2 linked regions of the Lytechinus pictus genome follow. The protein of the gene in region 2 purifies or fractionates together with the protein of the main gene of each other region. This does not show direct contact. Links are inferred from orthologs where the notes say so. Each region holds a gene or a part of one and is shown on either strand. Other genes may lie near its edges.

Region 1 (8,057 bases), on a different chromosome or scaffold from region 2:
TCAAACTTTCACCATAAATACACAATTACCTACAAAATATAAATATGTAAAAATTTTGCGGAAATCATTTTTCTTTTTTACGATATTAGCTTCCAATCGGACCCCTCTTCGCATGTGAAATATTTTTGTCACTTGAAAAAGGTATCGTATTACCGAACGTGTGTTTTCTATAGACCTTATCGCAAATAGCGTCTGTCGCGTGAGGGCGTCTGTCATCGCAGAGGATCATGGGATGCGAAAGGGGGCAAACGCGGAATCGGCTTTCAGGAAGCCATACAACGCCATATGTTTTGTGTAGTGTCACTCAAAATCCAGGCTTTTTTTTTAGTCTGATTTCTTCGTATTTATATTATTTTGGATACTTTAATGTGGATTTATAAAACAATCTTTGTATCATGATTGCCCAGTGAAAGTATGAACTCAATATTCACTGTATTTTCGAAGTTTTCTGGGGCTAAACTTGGGAAGATTTTGTGGGGAAAGTGAGACGGTGATTGCGGGTCAATGCTGATCGACTTTAGAAAAGAGCACGTCGGCGTTCCGAATTAGATAGCATATTTTTCCATTAAAGAATATTCATGAGAATCATAATGTAGACCATATATATCTCCATATAAATTTAGCTAGTTTTTGTTATTTTGGGTGAAATATAGTCCTTTTTTGCAACTCGGGCTGTTTAGTTTGATCATACAAGTTCTGGTGCATGAGACAAATCTAAAGCCCAAAATAAGCTAGTGTATATATATATATATACATATACATAATATTAAGGACATACAAAATAATAGGCCTATGACATGCAGAATAAAGATGAATAAATCTCTCAATTTAAAACATTTTATGATCCCGTATAGGCCCTATCCCTCCAATCTCTCTGTAATTTTATTTTGTCTGAAACTTAGCAGATGGATATTTAATTCATATAGATATATATTCCATTCTTTTGATAAAAAATCTTATTTCAACATTTACATCTTCAATTAATTTCATCGCATTCAGTCACTTCTCTTACAAATCACCTTCCTCATTAATTTCTTTTTTCTTTTTTTAGCTTAATTTTCTCTCAATATACTTTCATCTATTCTCATTTTTTTCTATTTCATTATGATTATTTTGTCTATGCATGCCAACAATAAAACTTCAGAATGTCCGACCACGATCCTGAATAATATGCAATAATATTATGTAGCCTATCTGTGGAGAGAAAAAGAAAACACAGCTCGGTTTATAGGCCTACTCTGAATAAAATCATGATTGAGATAATTAATTATGAAACATGTATTCTTGACTATCGATTGATATTACAAAAAATATATAACTAGACTAAAGTAATCAAATCTACTGCAGAGTTTGTTTTATTGATCATCATTTTATTATTGCTTGGAATTCCGGGACCAGTTTCCTCCACTGCCTCGCCGACGTACCCCTGGGCCGAGAGTGCATGCCCGCTGTCCGTGCATACAAGCACACTTTGCACAGCAGCTGCACAGATCAAAATACGCACAGACAGTGCGCGAAAATGAAAGAAAATTGCACTTGTCTTCATAAAATCTGTGGTAATTCTTGCAGCTTTATACAGCACATCTATCTCTGCCACCCATGATTAAGAAGAAAAGTGATGTTAGACTCTGGAACAAATATGACGAGGCGTTTACTGGAAGTTAGCAAAATGTTGGCTGCCGGCGTCGATCGTATTTTGATACACTATGGAAATCGTACACTTTATTGTCGGCTGCTTGCGCTCGCATGGTCGCATCCGGACAACAGCGGCGCTATTGCTCCCTTTGCGATCCCATGATCCTTTGCGTGAATCTATTTGCGATAAGGTCTATGGGAAAAATTGAGAAAACAACAAAATCACTGGTGAGCTATTTTGACCATATTTTAATATTTTTAGAATATCATAACTTTGAAAATGTGTTTTGACCATTTTTCATCATCTTTCTATTCAAGTTCCCTTTGGAAGGATGTTGCAAAGTTTTGAGCGTATGAAATTATTTTCTGACGCGTACGATGCGCGCGTTCGGTAATACAACTACAAGGCCGTTCGGTAATATACAATCACTCACTATACTAGTAGTACGCCTATACCTACCTCAGGCGATGTTCGTGCAGGCTCCACTCCACTTCACTACCGCTACACTACGCTCCACCTACCCGAACATCGGGACAGTGAACTAGATCGGATATTCCGAGTCATAAAAGGTGGGATGGCAATCATGGTTATCGTAGAAATTAAAGAAAAAAATATAAAGAAGGATATGAATGACTTAATAATAATATCTTACTTTACACCCGTATTTCACTCCGTGTCCATCCTCCGGTTATCCTCAAAATTGGTGATTTTGGGCCAGTATCTTTTTCCTCACACATATTATTCACGGCCGATTTCAAAACATCGCATGCGATCGGTCGCTGATCGATCGCGATCGCATGCGATGTTTTGAAATCGGCCGTGAATAATACGTGTGAGGAAAAAGATACTGGCCCAAAATCACAAATTTTGAGGATAACCGGAGGATGGACACGGAGTGAAATACGGCACTTACGGGTGTAAAGTAAGATATTAAGTCATTCATATCCTTCTTTATATTTTTTTTCTTTAATTTTTACGATAACCATGATTGCCATCCCACCTTTTATGACTCGGAATATCCGATCTAGTTCACTGTCCCGATGTTCGGGTAGGTGGAGCGTAGTGTAGCGGTAGTGAAGTGGAGTGGAGCCTGCACGAACATCGCCTGAGCCTGAGGTAGCCTATACCATACAACACGTAAAAATATACATATGGGACCGTACATGAACAAATCTCTACTTACTCTTCCATATAAAACAGGATTTTCAAGGATATCTATGTCATAATGGATGCTTTTGAGTTCTTCTATATCCAAGAAATATACTGATGTCCCTGCCAACATGGTAATGTTGGTTAAAAACAACGCGAGTGCGATGTTTTCTATTCGCTTCAATCCCATCTTCTCGTCTCACGTAACGAGCTGAAAGTCCTCGGTTTACTTTATCACTGCATGCATGCTTGCACCGTACGCGTACCGCACCAAAGTTCGACTGCTATGATGATTTGCTTGCATGTGATTGGCTCGCGCTCGTTAGCTGTATACAGTGCGTTTCAAAAAAAAGGTAATCCAAATCTAGAGGGCTGATATTAGGATCATATTTAATTTTGTGAAATTATTCTGCATGGATATATATGAGAAACTCATCAGCTTTCAATTGATACCCTATTTGTATCATTTTGTGCCACGCATGACCAAATCAATCGCTTTTAAAGACAACAGGTGCAGAGACCATTTTTTCCAAGTTTTGGTAAAGTGGGTAAAATGTGAACTTGATAGAATAATATGTTTTCCAAAGTAATTTTTTGGAATGAAGTGTTACTTGAGGCATTTCTCTGAAATGATGAGTGAAAAGTGTATGTCTTATCATGGACCTGGTCTTATTTACCCACACCTTCAACATGTCATCCTCTCCTTTGAAAACAAAACCAGAAGCGTTGAAGGATATATTGGACAGCTCGTCTCACCAATGGCAATGCCGGATCATTGTCCAAAGCATCCACCTCATATCGAATTTTTATTTTATTTGTCTTCCAACTTTGAGTTCGAATACATGACAAACATACAAGTGTGTATGAAACAATAAGTACATGATAAAACATACAGGTATACATAAAACAGAGTATGCAGAAAACATTGTTTTTAAATACATTATACAGCTTAAGACAGAAAAGAAATAATTTTAAAGGAAGACGAGGAGACCCTGCAAGTCATCAAAATCGTGGGGAAGAGTTGCAAAAACCTTATTTTTAAGTGTCCCTAAGGGAAATAATCAAAGGGCGTGCGGTCAGGCGATCTTGGTGGCTTTTTAATGCCATGGTTGAGGGCAACAACGTAATGTCCAAAGAGTCTATATCACGAATGATGTTGGAACGATGGGCAGGAGCTCCGTCCTGAATCCACCAAAGATACCTGTACACTCCTCACAACTGTCCCTCAACAATATGTTGGTCCAAATGTGGTACGATCTCCTCGTTAATGGTGTGCAAGTACATTCACTTATTAACAATCCTTTGTAAGAAAAAGGGTCCAATCAAAAGATTTTTGCCAGCTCAGACATCGATGAAAGTATTTACATCAGCATCTGTCTTTTCATCAAGTTTTCAAAAACTTGGAAAAAGGGGTCTCTGCACCTTTTGTCTTCAACATCAATTGATTCGGTCATGCGTAGCGCAAATGGCATAAAATAAAATAAAAAGAATATAGGTAACTTTTGCTTAAATTTCCATTATTGAGGTAAAAATTACGCATTTTCATTATCCAAATATGCAGGCATCCGCAGGTCCTTAGGCATGGCCGTGTGACTGTAGTATTAGCGAGGATTCAAAAGATAGACCAATAGGACGCACAAAAGACAGATAGTCAGGTCCAGATTTTAAAAAATGTGCTCAGAAAAAGTGCTTAATAGGCATTTTGTGTTAATGCTTATTTATCGATTGTTTTAAGGTAATTCAGGGGTGCTGAATCCAAAAATGCTGTTTGCCAAACTTGATTTCGACGTTTTCATCCTCAAATCGGCAAAAAAAAACAAAATGGCGGCATTTTGAATGCAGTTTCCCATAGGCCTATTAAGCGATTTTTATTGGTGATTATATTTCAAAAATTGGGGTCTATGCCTTATTTTTTATACCCTGGGTTGCAAACACAATGCATCCGATTGATTCGTTAGCCATCTTTAATTCCAAGATGGCTGCCATGATTCACAGCTGCTGATTGATAAATAATATGGCCAAATATTTGATGATTTTGGGGCGATGCTGGCATAATCATGTTGTGATATTTTAACGTGTCCTTCATTTTTTACTCGCCTGCATACCAGAAGCATGACATGGACGTCGCTTTTCCGACGGCGGCGATGACCATGGCGGCGGCAAGGTCAACATCAAATCTTAACCGAGGTTAAGTTTTTGATAACTTTTAGGGTATAGATGTCTATTTCATGAAACTTAGTGTTAAAATCTGTTGAGACAGGTTATAGTTACAAAAGGTTGTCCAGGGTACCTGGAAATCCAACATAGCATCCAAAACGGCAGTGTTTGTACCATCAACTCCAAAAATTAAAGTAAGTCATCAAAATCAAAATCATAAAAAAGCTTTCAAGGCAAATAATGAATCAGGACATGTTTACAAGATAGTCAGTGAGTACGTTGTCAGAGAATCCAAGATGACCTTCCAAAATGGCGTCTATATAATGAACGTTGTAACTTTGAAATGGTCCAAATTCTTATAATATCCACCCGGTAGAAATAATTTTGCGGTCTACCGAGAAAAAAATAAAACATAAAAAATCATGGTTCCAAGGAGAAAAATTACATTGGAAAATTTTCAAGGAGTATCAGTGGTGCTGTTTTGCAAAAAAAACATGATGGCTTAAAAGATGCTTGCTATTTCTTAAAGAATTGCTGCATAGTGCACATACTATATAGGCCTACCTAGAGACATTTTTGTATCTTTCTCATGATTTTAAGGGCCAAATAATATAGGTGAAGACGAATTACAGGGATACGCTGTTGTCCATTTTGTCAAAAAATTGCAGAACACTCCAAAAATTGCATTCGAATTGGCCAACATTGATACAAAAATGGCAATACTTCATATCCCATCTAGCGCCACTATTTTGGTGCCTCTGCTATGTATTTAAGACTCATAAAAATATGTTTTACAAGAGTTAGTGACAAAATTAGATGGTGGTGCAACAACAAGTAAACATCCGAAAACAAACTTTAAGAAATACGGTACACTTTCACCTAAAAAGAACCATAATTCGCTGATAAGAATTTCAAGACACGTCATTAATAGTGCTTAGGACTATCCTATGTGGTTTCATGATTAGGGGACAGCAGTTATTTTTACGCAATTTTAGAAGTCGCTTTGGACTTTTACAACGAAAAGGACAATACTGACCATCCTTGTTATTTGTCCCGATTTATTATTTCAGCCTTGCAAGCCACAATAGTGTAGATTATTTCATCTAATTATATTTTTTAAGTGATGGAAGTCTTTTTAGACTCATTTTGAAAGCCATCTTTGAATAATAAGCAAAATGGACAGCTTCACAGAATTGTAACTAATCCAAAAGTATTATTAAACCCTTGAAACCATGGTGTAGACACCGAAATCATATCTCCCAGATGGATTCTAAATGGATTATGTCAATTTTTAAGTATCAGCACCCATTTTAGACTCCTGTATTGGTAGTCATCCTGGATTTTTGGACAGACAGGACTATTAATTGCCCTTCTTACTTATCCTTTATGTATTACTTGACCTTTTAAACCAAGGGTTAGATAACATAAGCATATACCACAGGCGGATATTAAACAAACTATGTCAGTTTTAAGGTAACAATAGCCATTTTAGACTCCAATTTTGGAAGCATATTTGGATTCTTGGACATGCTGGACCTCTGACTGTCCTTGTATAACTTATCCTACTTTATTATTTGACCCTTTAAGCCATGGGTTAAACACCAAAATCATATACTCCAGGCTGATTTTAAACAAACTATGTCAGTTTTTTGGTAAGAACGGCCATTATAGACTCCATTTTTGGAAGTCATTTTGGATTTTTGGACATGCTGGAACCACTAACTGTCCTTGTTACTTGTCACAATGTAATACTTGACCCTTTAAACCATGGGTTATACTACAAAATCATATTCGCCAGGCGGTTATTAAACAAACTGTGTCGGTTTGTAATTAACGACAGACATTTTATGCTCCATTTTTGCAAACCATATTGGATTTTTGGACATGGAGGACCACAAACTGTCTTTGTTCCTTGTTCCAACATATTTTTGACCCGCTTAACCATGGGTTATAGGTATCAACATTATATCCCCAAGGCAGATATTAAACAAACTATGTCGGGTTTTAGGGTTTTTAGATAAGAGTTATTTTAGACTCCAATTTTGAAAGCCATCTTGGATTTTTGGACATAGTGGACCGTTGAATGTCCTTGTAACTTGTCACAGTTTACTACTTGACCCTTAAAATCACCAATGAAAAAACAACAAATAAAAGGCATTCATTGTAAATTTTTAGGCCATGGCAGCCATTTTTACGAAATCTTGGATTTTCAGGTATCCTGGAGTGCTTATTTTCACTCTTTCCTTTTACCCTCTATACACCGTTGAATGCAAGTCGTGTATGCACCAAAAAAAGGTCTTTATAGGGCAGATAAAGAGTCAGTTATATTAATTTTGAGTGCAATGGCGGCCATCTCAGACGCCATCTTGAAAATAACCACTTTCCCGGATGCGAATTTTAGTTGATTTTTAGTATGTTATTTCTGAGATCAAAATAAAATAGTACCAAAAACAGTTGACAAACATTTTTTTAATACAAATTTTGGGGTTCAAAATAGAGCAAAAAAGGATGTAGAATGGCGGCCATATTGTTTTTGCCAATTTGATGATTTTAACATCAAAATCAAGGTTGGCAAACAGCATATTTGGACTCAGCGCCCTCAAATTATGCTGTAACACTTTTCAATTCTGCATTAACACGATTTGCCTAAGGCAGTCTACTTTTCTCAAATCTGGACCTGACTAAGATCCTATGCAGGTGTCTAAAAGATGTGCACACAGGGATTTCATTAATCATTCAGACATACCCTAATATAGGCAAGGCCGTAGCAAAAGTGGAGGGTGTAGGATGCGACACCCCCCCCCCCCTTCGCGCTCGCCCCACCGTCAGTAAATCTGCGAGCATGTCGGGAAATTGATAAAAAAAAAAAGGGCGAGAGGAACTGAAGGGGAAGGGGAAAAGGGGAAAGAATGAAAGGTGAAAAAAAGAAGAAAGGGGTAAAGAGAAAGAGGGGGGGGAGATGATAAAAAGATAAATAAAGGATAAGAAGAAGAAGAGAGCGAGGGAATGGAAAGAGGAAGACGATATGCGGAGCCCATAATGCTGCCTGTCGGAATCACGCAGTGCTGTTCCAACATTCCAACTGCTTTGAGTGCCATGTTCGTTCTTGATTTCA
Region 2 (7,768 bases):
GTCAATGTTTTTGGCGGCCATTTTGAAAGTCAAAATACAATATTTAACACAAATATGAAACCCGAATAATATATTTCGTTGCAAATTATATTTGAAGACAGTATTCCACTAATTTACCACAAAAAAATACGTTTTAGTGCTCACCTTGTGATTGCTTTTGTCCTCTCTCACATCGTAGATCATAATTTTAGGGCCTTTGGCGGTCATATTAAATATCAAAATACAGGGTTTATCACATACATGGCATGTATGTAATTAATAAATTTCGTTAACAATTATGTTTTTAGTCAGTATTCCACTCGTTTATCTCAACAAAATGCATTTTAGTGCTCACTCTTGTGATTTTTTGTGTGTCACCATTCACATTGTACATAATAGTGTTAGGGCTTTTGAAGGCCATTTTGAATATCAAAATACAGGATTTATCACATAACTGACATAACAAATGATATATATCGTTAGCAATCATGTTTACAGACATTGCTTCACTCATAGATCATAATTACTTGCATTTCTGTGCTCAATTTTGTAAAAATTAATTTTCCCCATTCATATTGTACAGGGGTCTATGATGGCGGCCATTTTGATATCAAGAAAATAAATATTTTGACAAAATTCATTTTTTCAGATATTATTTCACTCCGGCAGCATAATTGCATGTACTTTAAAGCCAATGTGTGGACAATTTTATGATTTTCATGGGTAATTTGAATATTTTGGCGGCCATATTGGATTTTGCCAATTTGCAGAAAATGCTCAAGGTTACACGAGTGGCATCATTCAGATTCGGAATCAGCACCCTCGAATTGACAAGAAACCATAAAAAAACATTGTATATATAAAAAAAACAAGGTTCGACCCCTTCTATCCTGGACTATATCGGTGGCCTATATGAATAAACTTTGATTTCTTCACAGGAGTATGTTAAAGAGGAGGGTGCTTTTTCAGTGTTTAATTTGGTTGTTTATTTTTTTGTATATTTTTATTTATTTATTTATTTCATGCGTAGGCTCATAAATCGTAAGAAAAGTAGGACCTTAATGGATCATTAAACTGTACTGAGGCCTACATAAGTCTGATTTTCGTTCGAATTATTGGCCCACTAGGTCTTTAAATAAAACATTAGAAGTGAATCTGTCCACTCTGAGGATCTCCAATATTCTTAAGATTTCCTTCGATCAATAGGAATCTGGTGTGACTTTGGGCCATGGACCCCGTTTTTTTTCACAATCCCAAATTGTGGAACAGGGTTGAAAAAAAGACAAGAAAAAGGGGGTCAGAAATCCGGGGGTGAAATATGCTTTTTTTAATGATATTATTTTCTAAATATTATACCAAAATCTATCGCAAAATTATATGTATGTATTAAGAAGGTACCAACTCTTTTTTTAATTGCCCATCTGCCATATCTGCCCTCTTAATTAAAACTTCTGGCTCATTATAAGCTATATTGCCCATTAAAGGAATACTGAGGGGTCACTCGAGGTCTTCATAGTCCAGGATAGGCCCCATAGACAAGGGGTCGAACCTTGTTTTTTTAGATATACAATGTTTTTTTATGGTTTCTTGTCAATTCGAGGGTGCTGATTCCGAATCTGAATGATGCCACTCTTGTAACCTTGAGCATTTTCCGCAAATTGGCAAAATCCAATATGGCCGCCAAAATATGCAAATTACCCATGAAAATCATAAAATTGCCAACACATTAGCTATAAAATGCATGTAGTTGTTGTGCAGAAGTGAAATACCAATTGGAAAAGCGATATTTGACAAAATATTTATTTTATTGATATTCAAAATGGCCGCCATAACCCCTGTATACTTTATTATGTAGAATATGAATGGGCAAAATATTTTTTCAAACAAGAGCACTATTATTGCATGTGATTGTGACCTGCGAGTGGACTACTGTCTGAAAACATGACTATTAACAAAACTATGTCATTTGTATACTATCTAATGTGATAAATGCTGTATTATGATATTCAAAATGGCTGTCATAGACCCCTTATACTGTGTACAATATATAAAAGGGGACATATAATTTTCACAACCTTTGAATTTGTTTGACTTTAAAATGCCAATAACTGCGAAATATTGGTGTAACACCGTCTGACAACAAGGATTTCTAACGAAACATATCATTTCCCTTGCAATTTCGGTAATTATGCTGCATGTTGACATTCAAAATGGCTGCCATAGGCCCTATCTGTATTATGAACAAAGCGAATGAAGAAACTAATTTTCACAAGAGTAAAAACAATAAAATGAATGCAATTGTAATCTATACGAGTGAAATATTGTCTAAACACATGATTTCTGGCGAAACATATCATTTCATTTTTCATGCATGAGATGAATGCTGTATTGTAAAATTCAAAATGGCCCCTATGGGCCCTTACAGTATTATCTACAATGTAAATGGGGACAAATACTTTTGAAAGAATTAGGATTTGCCTGACTATGAAATCCATATAATTATGTTGTATAAGGAAAATATTGTTTGAAAACGTGATTTTTTTAATGAAATATAACATTTCCTCTCCCATAGGTGATAAATACTGTATTTTGACTTTCAAAACGGCCGCACAAGCCCCTACAAATTCTGTAACATGCGTATAGGGAAACTAATCATCACCAGAATGAGAACCAAAAACGCACGTAACTATGTGATGTATCGGTAAAATTTGGTCTTGAACATGATTTCTGACTAAATACATCACATAATGGTTGAGAAGGTAATAAAGGCCTTACTTTGAAATTCAAAATTGCTGCCATAGCCCAAAGTAGTATGTACATTGTAACTGGGGACAGATAATTTTGACAAAATTTTTACTATGAAAATGGCTTAATTTTGATGTAAGTGTTAAAGAGAAATTCCAGTATTTGCAGTAAACACTGATTTCATGAGAAAGTCTGTAAAAACAAGGCTTAATTGTCAGTATATCATCGAGGATCTAGATCTGGTACAGTTACATAAACTGAACTTTTTGAAATCTTGAAATCTACGCTGAAAAATGTTCACACTGAAGATCACCAACACAGATAGGCACACGTGGGACAGTGTATTATTATTGCTAAAATAAAGACCCGACGGAAGTGACCGAATCCGCGCTTATTTTGCTTATTTCTCAGCAATCACACAATTTCTTCCAGAATCCTTTGGCACATATTTTTTATTCATACAAACAGACACTTAGGTGGTCATTATATTAGATTCTGTAAAAAGTCATTTTTAGATCGTTACCAAAACTGGAATTTATCTTTAAGTATTGTCTAAACCCAATGATTTCTAACGAAATATATCATAGCTTGTGTCATAAAGGTGATGAATGCAGCCTTTTAAAAATGAAAAATGGCCGCCGTAGTCCCTTATCTTAATATGTAAAATTTGATTGGGGAAAGATAATTTCCACAAAGAAACATATTGCAGCCATTTTGACATTTAAATATAGCATTTATCACCTAAATAACATAAGAAATGATCTATTTGGTTACAAAATCATATTTTCAGACGATATTTCACTCATACATGCAACACCATTTAGTCAAGCAAAGCCAAATTCTGTTAAAATTATATGTTCCCATTCACAAAGTACATAATAGGCCTACTGTTAGGGCCTGTAGCGGCCATTTTGACTTTCAAAATACATTATTTATCACCTACCTGGCAGAATGAATGATATATCTTGTTAGGAATTATGTTTTCAGACAATATTTTACTCTTAAATCACAATTATATGCATGTTATGGTGCTGACTCATGTGAAAATTGGTTTCCCAGATCGATTGTACATAATACAGTCAATGTCTTTTAGCGGCCATTTTGAAAGTCAAAATACAATATTTAACACAAATATGAAACCCGAATAATATATTTCGTTGCAAATTATATTTGAAGACAGTATTCCACTAATTTACCACAAAAAATACGTTTTAGTGCTCACCTTGTGATTGTTTTTGTCCTCTCTCACATCGTAGATCATAATTTTAGGGCCTTTGGCGGTCATATTAAATATCAGAATACAGGGTTTATCACATACATGGCATGTTAAATGATAAATTTCGTTAACAAAAATGTTTTTAGTCAGTATTCCACTCGTTTATCTCAACAAAATGCATTTTAGTGCTCACTCTTGTGATTTTTTTGTGTCACCATTGTACATAATAGTGTTAGGGCTTTTGAAGGCCATTTTGAATATCAAAATACAGGATTTATCACATAACTGACATAACAAATGATATATATCGTTAGCAATCATGTTTACAGACATTGCTTCACTCATAGATCATAATTACTTGCATTTCAGTGCTCAATTTTGTAAAAATTAATTTTCCTCATTCATATTGTACAGGGGTCTATGATGGCGGCCATTTTGATATCAAGAAAATAAATATTTTGACACAAATCATTTTTTCAGATATTATTTCACTCCGGCAGCACAATTGCATGTACTTTAAAGCCAATGTGTGGACAATTTTATAATTTTCATGGGTAATTTGAATATTTTGGCGGCCATATTGGATTTTGCCAATTTGCAGAAAATGCTCAAGGTTACACGAGTGGCATCATTCAGATTCGGAATCAGCACCCTCGAATTGACAAGAAACCATAAAAAAACATTGTATATATAAAAAAACAAGGTTCGACCCCTTCTATCCTGGACTATCACGGAATTTCCGTGGAGGTCTTCCGTATCTGAACGTGCTCTGTCATTTATTGTACCTGCAAGTATTCACTAAAGGGAAAAAAATGTTCCGTGCTTGTATTCTTCAAAAAAATATATAAGAAACTTTTGTCAGCCTTTTTTTTTTTAATTTGTATTTATTTATTTTTTATTCGATTTCTTAAATTTTGTAACTATGTACCGTAAGTGAAGTATCATTAATCATTAAATGTGCTCAGACGGACACTTATCACTTTCGAGCAAGGTGATTAATTGAATTGCTTACTTCACCGATTTGGATCAGCTGCGTAAAGCTGACGTGTGTGTACGAGACTTAAGGCCTAGCCTACTTCTGTGCTGTGTTAACAAGCTAGCTACGCCGACTGAATTTTATTTAGGCCTAGTTTAGAGTTTAAACAAAACTCCAAATTCAAGCCAGTGCCAGTAGTAGTCCAGTTTAAAATTGTAAGTTGATCTAACGTTATTAATGTAGAGCTCTGTTTCGTCTTTCAACATTAACTATGAATATGACTGCGATTAACAACATAGGCTAATTGTTTTGCTTTTTGTTTCAGTTTTTCACCATGGTCCAAGACTCCAGTCCATGTTCACCGTATCACTATCAGTTTCAGAGTCGATTCTCCACTCAGTTGATTCATGAACAGTTGAATGAAGTTCAATCAACTTCCATACTTCATCAGTTAGTTAGGCAACCATGACAAGACAGTCACTGTGTGCCTTAGACAGCTGGCAGCCGTCCGTTTCGAGGAGTTTTTAAACTTTTTTTTTTTTTTAGAGTGAAGCCAACGGAGTTCAGCTGAACAACCAACATAACAGAGACCGAAGCTTTTGGTCTATGTGTGCCTGTGACTGAGTTGAGTTGAGACTGAGCTTAGCCTTAGACGTAGCTAGACTAGACCTGAGCCGAGTATTATGAAAGAGAGACACGAATCAAATAATGAGTCTAACTTTGCTTCAATTACTTTTTAGTAATTGGGATGGTCTGGGCTGAGAATATCTAACGTTGGATCCAGATCTAGATATAATCTGGACTCTATGTCATGATGTGGCTGACCATGATTTGGCACATTTTGAAAAAAAAGTTGGTTTTCAATCTAAAAATTACAGTTCACACAAAATTAATCAAAATCATAAATACCAGATGGAAGGCAAGATCCCAAAGGCAAAGTCAAATTCGCTTGATGGAATTATAAAGTAGGTCAAGGTTTGCACTCGTATCGCGATCTCAAAACTCCATGGCGATCGACTAGTGCGCACTTGGCTGAAAAAGTGTCATAAAAAGTGTGACCTTAATTTGCACACGATCGTTTTGCAAAGCTTTAAAAAAGTAATCAAGCAGACAAAGGTAAGATAATTATATCAGATGGAGGTTAAAATGCCATAAATTTGGTTGGTATCACATTTTACTTATTTGGAGACCTCTCCTTGCAAACTGACGATTTCTTGATGCTTGCCAAAAAGTTTAGATTTTCTCGGAGCGTACGCTAAAAGTAACAAAATTCGCCAATGTTTTGCCAATGTCTTTACAATTTGAGACCTTCAAGAATATTATCATACTGAGTAATTTTGGGTCGCTTTTTCTGTTGGTGATATCACTTTTTCAAGATGTTAATTAGATATTCGACTGCACAAAATCAGGTAAACTGCGAATTAAGTACACACCACCATAAATAAATAGAGTAAAATTCACAGAGCAAAATGCTGAAAATTTCATCAAAATCAGATAACAAATTATAAAGACTTTAAAGTTATTGAATTTTTAAGTAAACCATTAATTTGTGAAAATAGTTATATGCACATCATCATGAATATTCATTAGGTGGGCTGATGATGTCACATCCCCACTTTCCCTTTTCCTTATGTCATTACATGAAATCATAATTGTTTCATTTTTTCATACGTGTGAATAATGTGTCTCCTTTATAATGAAATAGTTGCAGCAATGAATATCTAATGCACTAAATCAGTTGTCCAATTTTTTTAAGTTCTTGGTAAATTTGTTTTTAATAAACCTAATTTCATATAATAAAATACAAAAGAACAAGTGGGGATATGACATCATCAATTTGCTCATTGAATATTCATGATGACATGCCGAGAACTGTTTCACCAGAATAATGTAAATCTTTAAAATGCCATAACTTTGGTATTCCTTGTCCGGTTTTGGTCAAATTTTCAGTGTTTTGTTTGTCTCATTTTTCTCTATCTGTTTAAATCATATAATTTTCAGCCTGGAGTATCCCTTTAAGTCTGGTGAGTGGTGTTGCCATGCCTGTTGAGTGTTAGTGCACAGACACAGTGATGTTCGTGTAGGGTAGGCTCCACTTCACTACCGCTACACTAGGCTACACCTACCCGAACATCAAGGTACAAAACTCCGAGTGACAAAGGTGTGATTTAATGTGTATAAAACGTGAAACTCGTGCAACAACACAACCTTTAAAAACAATAAAAACTAATATTCCTACATTTCACAAAGTTTCACTTTTCCACGCTTCTATCAGTCTCAAAATCGTTGATTTAGAGCCAGTAACAGTTTCCTCACACGTATTAATTCACTGCCGATTTTAAAACATCGCAGTTGCGCATGCGGGGAAATCGCAGCTCAATTCAAGAAAATTCATGATGGGACTATATAGTTCGGGATCGTTTCGCATAACTTGCATCAGATCTCGATAGTTCAGATTTTGATAGTTTAGATTCTCCTATAAGAAAGATGTGTAAGATTTTTTTTGTTTTTGGGGGCTAATTATGATCACCCTCTGTATTTATGAACTTCCATATGAGTTATAAAAGAAAGTTTTGATCCAGATTTAAAATAGAGCCAATATAAATTTTTGGATAATGTCATATGTCAAATGGAATCGCCCTTATTCTTGGAAGACAAAATCTTCATCATGCAAAATTTGTGTCATCCACTTCTCCTTAATCAAATTTTCATGATAATAAGGAGACATTTAATTCTGCTTTTGAAATGTGAGAGATGGATCCAAAAGATTAAAAACACAAAATGCGTCCAATAAACAGTGATGGACGAAAATATGTTCTTGTGACGTGACATAATGGAATGAAATATTCGAG

Evidence for each region. The genes of interacting proteins can lie anywhere in the genome.
Region 1: the proteins of derlin-2-like (region 2) and protein OS-9-like purify together in Homo sapiens (affinity purification with western blotting; 3 studies listed by BioGRID, with this or other methods). This does not show direct contact. The link is inferred for Lytechinus pictus from reciprocal best matches to the Homo sapiens genes DERL2 and OS9.

The regions. Positions count from the first base shown.
Region 1 is NC_087247.1:60,358,240-60,366,296, reverse strand, and holds the start of protein OS-9-like, read right to left. Parts: upstream 3,071-8,057; 5' UTR 2,976-3,070; coding exon 2,820-2,975; intron 1-2,819. UniProt on the Homo sapiens protein: Lectin component of the HRD1 complex, which functions in endoplasmic reticulum (ER) quality control and ER-associated degradation (ERAD).
Region 2 is NC_087246.1:9,527,709-9,535,476, reverse strand, and holds the start of derlin-2-like, read left to right. Parts: upstream 1-4,711; 5' UTR 4,712-5,131; intron 5,132-6,917; exon of another isoform or gene 6,918-7,054; intron 7,055-7,768.